Ovis aries: one gene and its partner. The protein of the gene in region 2 purifies or fractionates together with the protein of the main gene of each other region. This does not show direct contact. Links are inferred from orthologs where the notes say so. Each region holds a gene or a part of one and is shown on either strand. Other genes may lie near its edges.

Evidence for each region.
Region 1: the proteins of PTPRU (region 2) and GOLIM4 purify together in Homo sapiens (affinity purification with mass spectrometry; 3 studies listed by BioGRID and IntAct, counting the BioPlex papers as one, with this or other methods). This does not show direct contact. The link is inferred for Ovis aries from reciprocal best matches to the Homo sapiens genes PTPRU and GOLIM4.

What each region holds. Positions count from the first base shown.
Region 1 is NC_056054.1:220,061,784-220,065,597, reverse strand, and holds part of GOLIM4 (Golgi integral membrane protein 4), read right to left. Parts: intron 963-3,814; coding exon 633-962; intron 1-632. UniProt on the Homo sapiens protein: Plays a role in endosome to Golgi protein trafficking; mediates protein transport along the late endosome-bypass pathway from the early endosome to the Golgi.
Region 2 is NC_056055.1:237,986,961-237,990,774, forward strand, and holds part of PTPRU (receptor-type tyrosine-protein phosphatase U), read right to left. Parts: intron 2,938-3,814; coding exon 2,901-2,937; intron 2,284-2,900; coding exon 1,991-2,283; intron 1,178-1,990; coding exon 1,023-1,177; intron 1-1,022.

The DNA of each region.
Region 1 (3,814 bases), on a different chromosome or scaffold from region 2:
AGTCTCCCTTACTGTGCACTCTTTTCTCTTCCTTTTTAAAAAATTTTTAATTGGAGGATAATTGCTTTACAATGTTTTGATTTCTGCTGTACAACAACTTGAGTCAGTTTTAATATACACATATCCCCTCCCTGTTGAGCCTCCCTCCTATCCCCGCCCTACAGTGCATTCTTGACAAATAAACACCTACAGCACCTTCTCTTTTCCCCAATCACCTTTCTGGGGTAAGGTAGCTATGCTACTAATATCACAACAGAATAAGTACATAGAAGATTTAGTGAAATCATCCTCATTTTATTTTAGAGATTGTTACACATGGGCTTTTTCCTTGATACAGTTGACCCTTGAACAATGTAGGCATTAGGGGCATGGACCCTCAGCACAGTGAGAATCTTCATATAACTTTTAGTCAGCCCTCTGTATGTAGGGATCCTCCACAGCCTCCCTGTGGGGGCCCTTCTGTCTCAGTTTCCCATGTTCAGATTCGACCAAACACAGATTTTCTAGTGTTTACTAGAAAAATCCTTACAGAAGTGGTCCTGCAAGGTTCAAACTCTCCTTGTTCATGGGTCGACACTATGTAGCGACAAAGGCACAACCCCGACCCGCCGACTGGCTGGGTAACCGCATACCTCAGCGCGAGCCTCCCCTGCCGCGCGTCTGGCTTCCTCTCGTTCGCGCTGCTCCGCCCACTCCCGATCCTGCTCCTCGGGTGACGGGTCGTGCTCCTCCTCGAGGCGCTCGGGCCGCCCGACCTGCTCCATGGCCTCCTCCTCCAGCGCCCGCCTGTGCTCCTCCTCCACCTGTCGCTCCTGCGGCTCCCCGGGTCCCGCTTCTTGCCGGGTCAGTTCCGCGGGAGCCTGAAATTCTGCCTCCTTCTGGGTGGAAGGGTAAGGTTTTGCTTCCTCTGTTCTTCCAGGGGCTGCTTCATGGTTCTGCCACACTTCACTATTTCGAGACACCTAGGTCAAGCACATCACTGGAAATGACACTCCTCTAGTTCGAAAGTAGTGACAGAATTTCTTTATTACCATGTCTATAGGGTTACAACATAAGCAAAATCCTGGAGTCTAGAAATAGAGTCCTGACTGAAAAGTATGGCTGCAATGGAGTCACTTAACTCTTCTCACTGTGTAATCTCACCTATAAAATAGAGATAACATAAGCAAAATTTCATCACGGGAAGCATACTGTAAGTAACCTAAAAGTAAAGCCTGTAAATGACCACATCTCAGTAGACTCTGCCCTCAAAAGTAATCTAACTCCTGTTCTCTCAGAATAAAAAGGGAAAATCCTCATACTTCAAGTGACTGAATACTTATGCAATTTTCTTTTATGTAAATTTTCTCTTCAATAATTATTTGAAAAGAAAAGGATAAGATCAAATTGAGGATGAGTTAGGTTTGTTTTTTGTTACCTAATATAAAAAAGAATGCCATTACTAATGGACATTCATGTTAGCTAAAATAGTGTCCATTAACTCAGGTACAATAAAACATTTTTAATGTATTAAAAGTAATATTTCTTTGTGCACCAGAGGAAGTCTGTGAATATTTTATATTATTAATACAGAAAACTCTGAAGAAAAAAAAAAAAGATATGTCTTTTCTACAGAGAACTCCTCTTCTAAAATTGGTGAACTTAAATCAGTTTTCTCTGAAAGTGTCAGAGATTTCTATATGGTCTTCATTACTCAGAAAAAAGGGGCAAAAGAAAGTAAATACAACATCAATAGGAAAATGTGTCACTGCTCTTCCTCCTGCCAAATCCTCCTGATTTTTATCAGAAAAAATATTTTGTTTGGTCAGACTGTCCCATAATTGAAATAAATGTGAAGCTCTCTTCTTAAATTAGCAGAAACATAACTGAGAAACTGGAGTGTATAAATAAACAAACCAAGGGAAAAAGTCTTTTCTCAGACACTTGAGGACAGCTTTTGGAGGTACACATTTTATCAAGTCCTTGCATACCTGGCAAGTGTGAATTGATACTGCCCTGGCTTTATAGTCAGGCTAGCAAAGTAATACTCAAAATTCTCCAAGCCAGGCTTCACCAGTATGGGAACTGTGAACTTTCAGATGTTGAAGCCGGTTTTAGAAAAGGCAGACGAACCAGAGATCAAATTGCCAACATCTGCTGGATCACTGAAAAAGCGACAGTGTTTCAGAAAAACGTCTATTTCTGCTTTACTGACTATGCCAAAGCCTTTGACTATGTGGATCACAACAAAGTATGGAAAATTCTTAAAGAGATGGGAATACCAGACCACCTGACCTGCCTCTTGAGAAACCTGTAGGAAGGTCAAGAAGCAACAGTTAGAACTGGACATGGAACAACAGACTGGTTCCAAATAGGAAAAGGAGTATGTCAAGGCTGTATATTGTCACCCTGCTTATTTAACTTATATGCAGAGTTCATCATGAGAAATGCTGGACTGGATGAAGCACAAGCTGGAATCAAGATTGCTGGGAGAAATATCAATAACCTCAGATGTGCAGATGACATCACACTTATGGCAGAAAGCAAAGAACTAAAGAGCCTCTTGATGAAAGTGAAAGAGGAGAGTGGACAAAGTTGGCTTAAAGCTCAACATTCAGAAAACTAAGATCATGGCATCTGGTCCCATCACTTCATGGCAAATAGATGGGGAAACAATGGAAAAAGTGACAGACTTTATTTTGGGGGGCTTCAAAATCATTGCAGATGGTGACTGCAGCCATAAAATTAAAAGACCCTTGCTCCTTGGACGAAAAGTTATCATCAAGCTAGACAGCATATTCAAAAGCAGAGACATTACTTTGCCAACAAAGGTCTGTCTAGTCAAAGCTATGATTTTTCCAGCAGTCATGTACGGATGTGAGAGTTGGACTATAAAGAAAGCTGAGCGCCGAACAACTGACGCTTTTGAACTGTGGTGTCGGAGAAAACTTTTGAGAGTCCCTTGGACTACAAGGAGATCCAACCAGTCCATCCTAAAGGAAAATCAGTCCTGAATATTCATTGGAAAGACTAATGCTGAAGCTGAAACTCCAATACTTTGGCCCACTGATGTGAAGAACTAACTCACTGGAAAAGACCCTGATGCTGGGAAAGACTGAAGGTGGGAGAAGAAGGGGACAACACAGGATGAGATGGTTAGAGGGCATCACCAACTCAATGAACATGAGTTTGAGTAAGCTCCAGGAGTTGGTGATGGACAGGGAAGCCTGGCATGCTGCAGTCCATGGGGTCGCAAAGAGTCGGACACGACTGAGCAACTGAACTGAACCGGCTTTATAGTGGTAAAGAACCTGCCTGCCAATGCAGGAGAATCAAGAGATACAGGTTTGATCCCTGGGTTGGGAAGATCCCCTGGAGAAGGAAATGGCAACCCACTCCAGTATTCTTGCCCGGAGAATTCCATGCACAGAGGAGCTTGGCAGGGTACAGTCCATGGGGTTGCAAAGGGTCAGACATGACTGAGGCAACTTAGCAAGCACACTGGCTGGCTTTATAGGAAATATTTCTCTGAAGGATTATAAGTGCTTTCAAATACCTGTCATTTATTTCCACAACATCCCTGTGAGAAAGGTTAGGGCAAATAACTATTACCTCCATTTCCTTGATAGAAAAACTAAAAAAAGTCAGAGTCATTAAAAGATCAATCCAGTTGAACTTGGATGGAGAATAGAACCAGTTCCCACATCAGGGCGCTGACTGTGTTTCCTGAAGTACAGAGCAACATAAGACCCAGACAAAGAACAAGTATCCAGGACACAGAACTTGTCCATGAAGGAATGCTTTGCTCAGACTGAAGATTCAAGTGAAGTCCACT
Region 2 (3,814 bases):
CCCATCTCTGGAACCCTCCATTTAGCACCAGGTAGAGCAGAGTTGAGAGGAGAGGGGAGGACAGAAATGACACCAAGATCTCAAGCTTGAAAATGGTGAGAGCGACGGGTTAGCCAGGACACACAGCCAGTGGGTATCCCATGTGCCACTGATAGGGACTGGAATTCGTGAAACCACTTTGGAAAACTGCCCACAGTATCCAGTAAGGCTGAACATTCACAGAGCAATTCCACTCCTACATACTTACCTCCCAGAAATGCGAGTGTGTGTGTCAGCCAAAAGACACGTAAGAGAATGTCCTTAGCAGCACTGTTGATAACAGCTCAAAGCTGGAAACCACCCAAATGCCTCCCCACAGCAGAATGGATAAGCACACGGCGGTTTGTTCACGCTGTGGAGTCGGGTACAATATGGATGAACCTTACAAGCATAAGGCTGAGAGAAAGTCAGACTCCAAGGAGCACCTGATGTGTGATTCCACTGATACAAAGTTCAAAAGCATGCATAATGACTCTCAGGCTTAGAAGTCAGGAGAGCGATCACTCTGGAAGGGAGGAGGTGGGGTACAGGCCACAAGGGTCTCAGGCTTAGAAGTCAGGAGAGCGATCACTCTGGAAGGGAGGAGGTGGGGTACAGGCCACAAGGGTCTCAGGCTTAGAAGTCAGGAGAGTGATCACTCTGGAAGGGAAGAGGTGGGGTACAGGCCACAAGGGAGCTCCAGGGACTTCTGGGTTCTGTTAATGCTCTGTTTCTTGATCTGAGTAGTGCTGAGTCCTTCACAGTGAAATTGGGGAAATTCCTAAAGCTTACTTATTATTACAATAGCCCATAATAATAAGCTACACTTAGTGTGCACACGATGGTGCCAATCCCAGAGCCGAAGCTCAAAGGGCGAAAGGCGTCAGGAGGTCATTCTCCCCGTCCTCTGCCTCTGAGCAGGATGGACTCGGGCCCAGTCTCCTTCAGGAACCTCAAACAACCCCATCCCCACCCCCTTCTCCCTGGGCTCCCCAGCACCCCACCTGCAGTGGATGACCACAGGCCCAGCGTCAGGGGGCGTGGAGGCCTTCACACGCCGGATGAAGGCCAGCAGCCCCGTGGCGTGGTAGGGGACACCGTGCTCCGGCCAGGCCGTGAAGTGGAACTGGCGGACCTCGTGGCGGGCAGAGTAGCCTCTCTGGGGAGACAAAAGAAGTGACAGTCAGAGCCCCTGCCAGCGTCTACCAGACACCTGCAGTGTGCCAGGCACGGGAGTGAGCATCTCACCGCAGGAACTCAGTTCACCCCAATGAGACTCACGAGGTGGGTATTAATGACTCATTGTACAAGCAAGAAACCTAAGCCTCAAAGACGAGAAACCGCCTGCCCGAAGCCAAGACACACATTAGGCAGGGGTTGGGCTGGGATCTGCCTGGTGCCACATCTGTACTGTAAGTCACCCATTTCCGCCACCTGCTACACAGCTGCCCTCAGAGATCATTTTGATGCTCCCAGTCTTAGTTCAAAGGGAGAAAACTATCTTTCCTCTGAGGATTTTATAGACAGTCAAATAGGACTGTGCCATCCCTCACCTGGGGCCTTTCATGAGTGAGGTAACCATTCTTGAGCCTCACTTTCCCTATCTGTAAAATGGGTCTAATAGCAAAGGCCTAACCCACAGACTGAAGGAGGGCCGAAACAATATGTGTAATGGGCTGAGCACAGCGCCTGGCACAGAGCAGGATCGGCACCTGGCAGTTATCCTCAAGGTCCTCATCGTTCTCTACATTCACACCATCCTCATCATCTTGACTTCCTCTTGCAGTCACCAGTCAAGACGGCCACCTTTCCATCTTTTCACAGTGCCCCCTGTGAGGCGCTGTGGCTGCCCTGCTCGGGATGCAGAGTGCCACCCCCACCCTCCACTCCTGGGCTGGGAGGGGCTGGGGGTGTGCCCTGCCCCACCTTCTCAGGCACCCTGGGAGGGGCCTGGTGACCACAGGAGACTCACCCGCTCCAGGGCAAAGCTGCGCACAACATACTCGGCTAGAGTCTCCGTCTTCACCAGCGTGATCTTGATGTCCCCGTACATGTCGGAGTCCTCCGGCCAGTATCGCGAGCATTTCACCTGGAGGCCCCAAGGGGCAGGCTCAGTGGGCTCACTGCCCCCGGCCTGCCACGCCCCCTCCCCCAGGGCCCCACTTACCCTGCCCACCTCCACCAGTTTGGTGATCATGACGATGCTGGAACAGTGTTCCTGCCATACCATGCGCCAGAAGTCGTAGACCATTTCAGGCTTTGGCCCTGGGGAGCAGAGAGGGCTTGTCTCTAAGGCCAGGTCTCCACCCAGGCCCAGCACACCGCTGCCCCACACCACCGATGCAGGCCAGGAGGATCCTGAGCCCCAGTGGGGGCTTCATGCTCACCCCCACACACCCCCATCAACTGCCGACTCATGCCTGTTGGGTCCTTGGGGTGGTCATTGTGAGGGAGAGCCTGCCTGGAGACCCCGGTCATCCTGAGCAGAACCCAGGAGGAAGAGCTGGAGGGCCATGGCACAAGCCTCCAGGAGGGATGGACAGACAGACAGTGGAGAGGATAAGATACAGCCCAAGGGACCCAGACAGCCCCCAGACCAAGAGACACAGTCCACACCCATGAGGACCGAGGCTGGCTGACCCTTTTGCATGCAGACAGACAGGTGGACCAGGAGCTACACTCAGACAGCAGACATCGGGAGATACAAACACAAAGAGAGAACAGATATGGATGTCCAGATTCCAGAAGATCCAGACAGACAGACAGATAGAAGGTAGACAGGGAGGCAGGCAGATCAGCCGGGAAGGCAGGAAGGCAGGCAGAGGGCACTCAGCACACTGGGGCAGGGGGGTGAGGGAAACATGGGAAGAGGTGCCAGGTACCTTGAGTGGCTATGAAGTGATTTGACCTGTGGTAACCCTGGAACAGGAGAAGAGGGGGTGTTAAGACCTCGAGGATTGGCCCCTCACTTGCTCAGGCCCCTCTGCCCTCCTCTCCCAGAAGCTGCACACACAGGCCCCACTCAGGGAAGGGCCCCACCCTCTTGACCTGTCTTTTGCCCATCCCCCAAGGAAGGAAGGAAGTAGAGCCTGAACACCAGGGTCATGGGTTTAAACCCATCTTTGCTACGTAACCCAAGGGAAGACACGACTCCTTCATGGGCCTAGAGGGTCTCCCCTTTCATAATTGGGGATAATTGTCCATAATCTGCTTATAACCCAGCTGCTCTTTGGAGACAAATACATTGCAGGGTGACCCTACCCTGTTCCCAAAGCCCCAGAGACCCTAAGCAACCCCAGGCCCCAGGCTGGGTCTTGTCAGTTATCTCAGCCCTGCTCAGGGCAACCAGAATGGGCAATGTCCCTCCCCACGACCCGGTCACCCAGGGCTTGGGGTGGCCCAATGAAGGCTTCAGGTTAGGAGCAAGTGAGCACAGGAGTTGCTCATGGCCCTTAGACAAAATGTTTTTTAAAATCTTCAAAATCAATAATAATGATAATAGCGATAATAAATAACTTACATAGTTATTTATTAAAATAATAATAAATGTTTGAGGCCCTGTTATGGACACATACTGTGCTAAGCACTTTACCTGTATTATCTCCCACAAAAGAGGCCAAGAGCCACTTTCATCTTCCATCCCCAGAGCCCCCAGGCTGAGAAGTGGAACCAGCCAGACTCCACTCCCACCCTGAGGCGGGAACCACCCATGAGATCTTGCCCACATGAGACACCCAGGGAATCAATGCAGGTGACACGGGATAAGTAAGAAGCACTGCAAGCATGGGATAAGTAA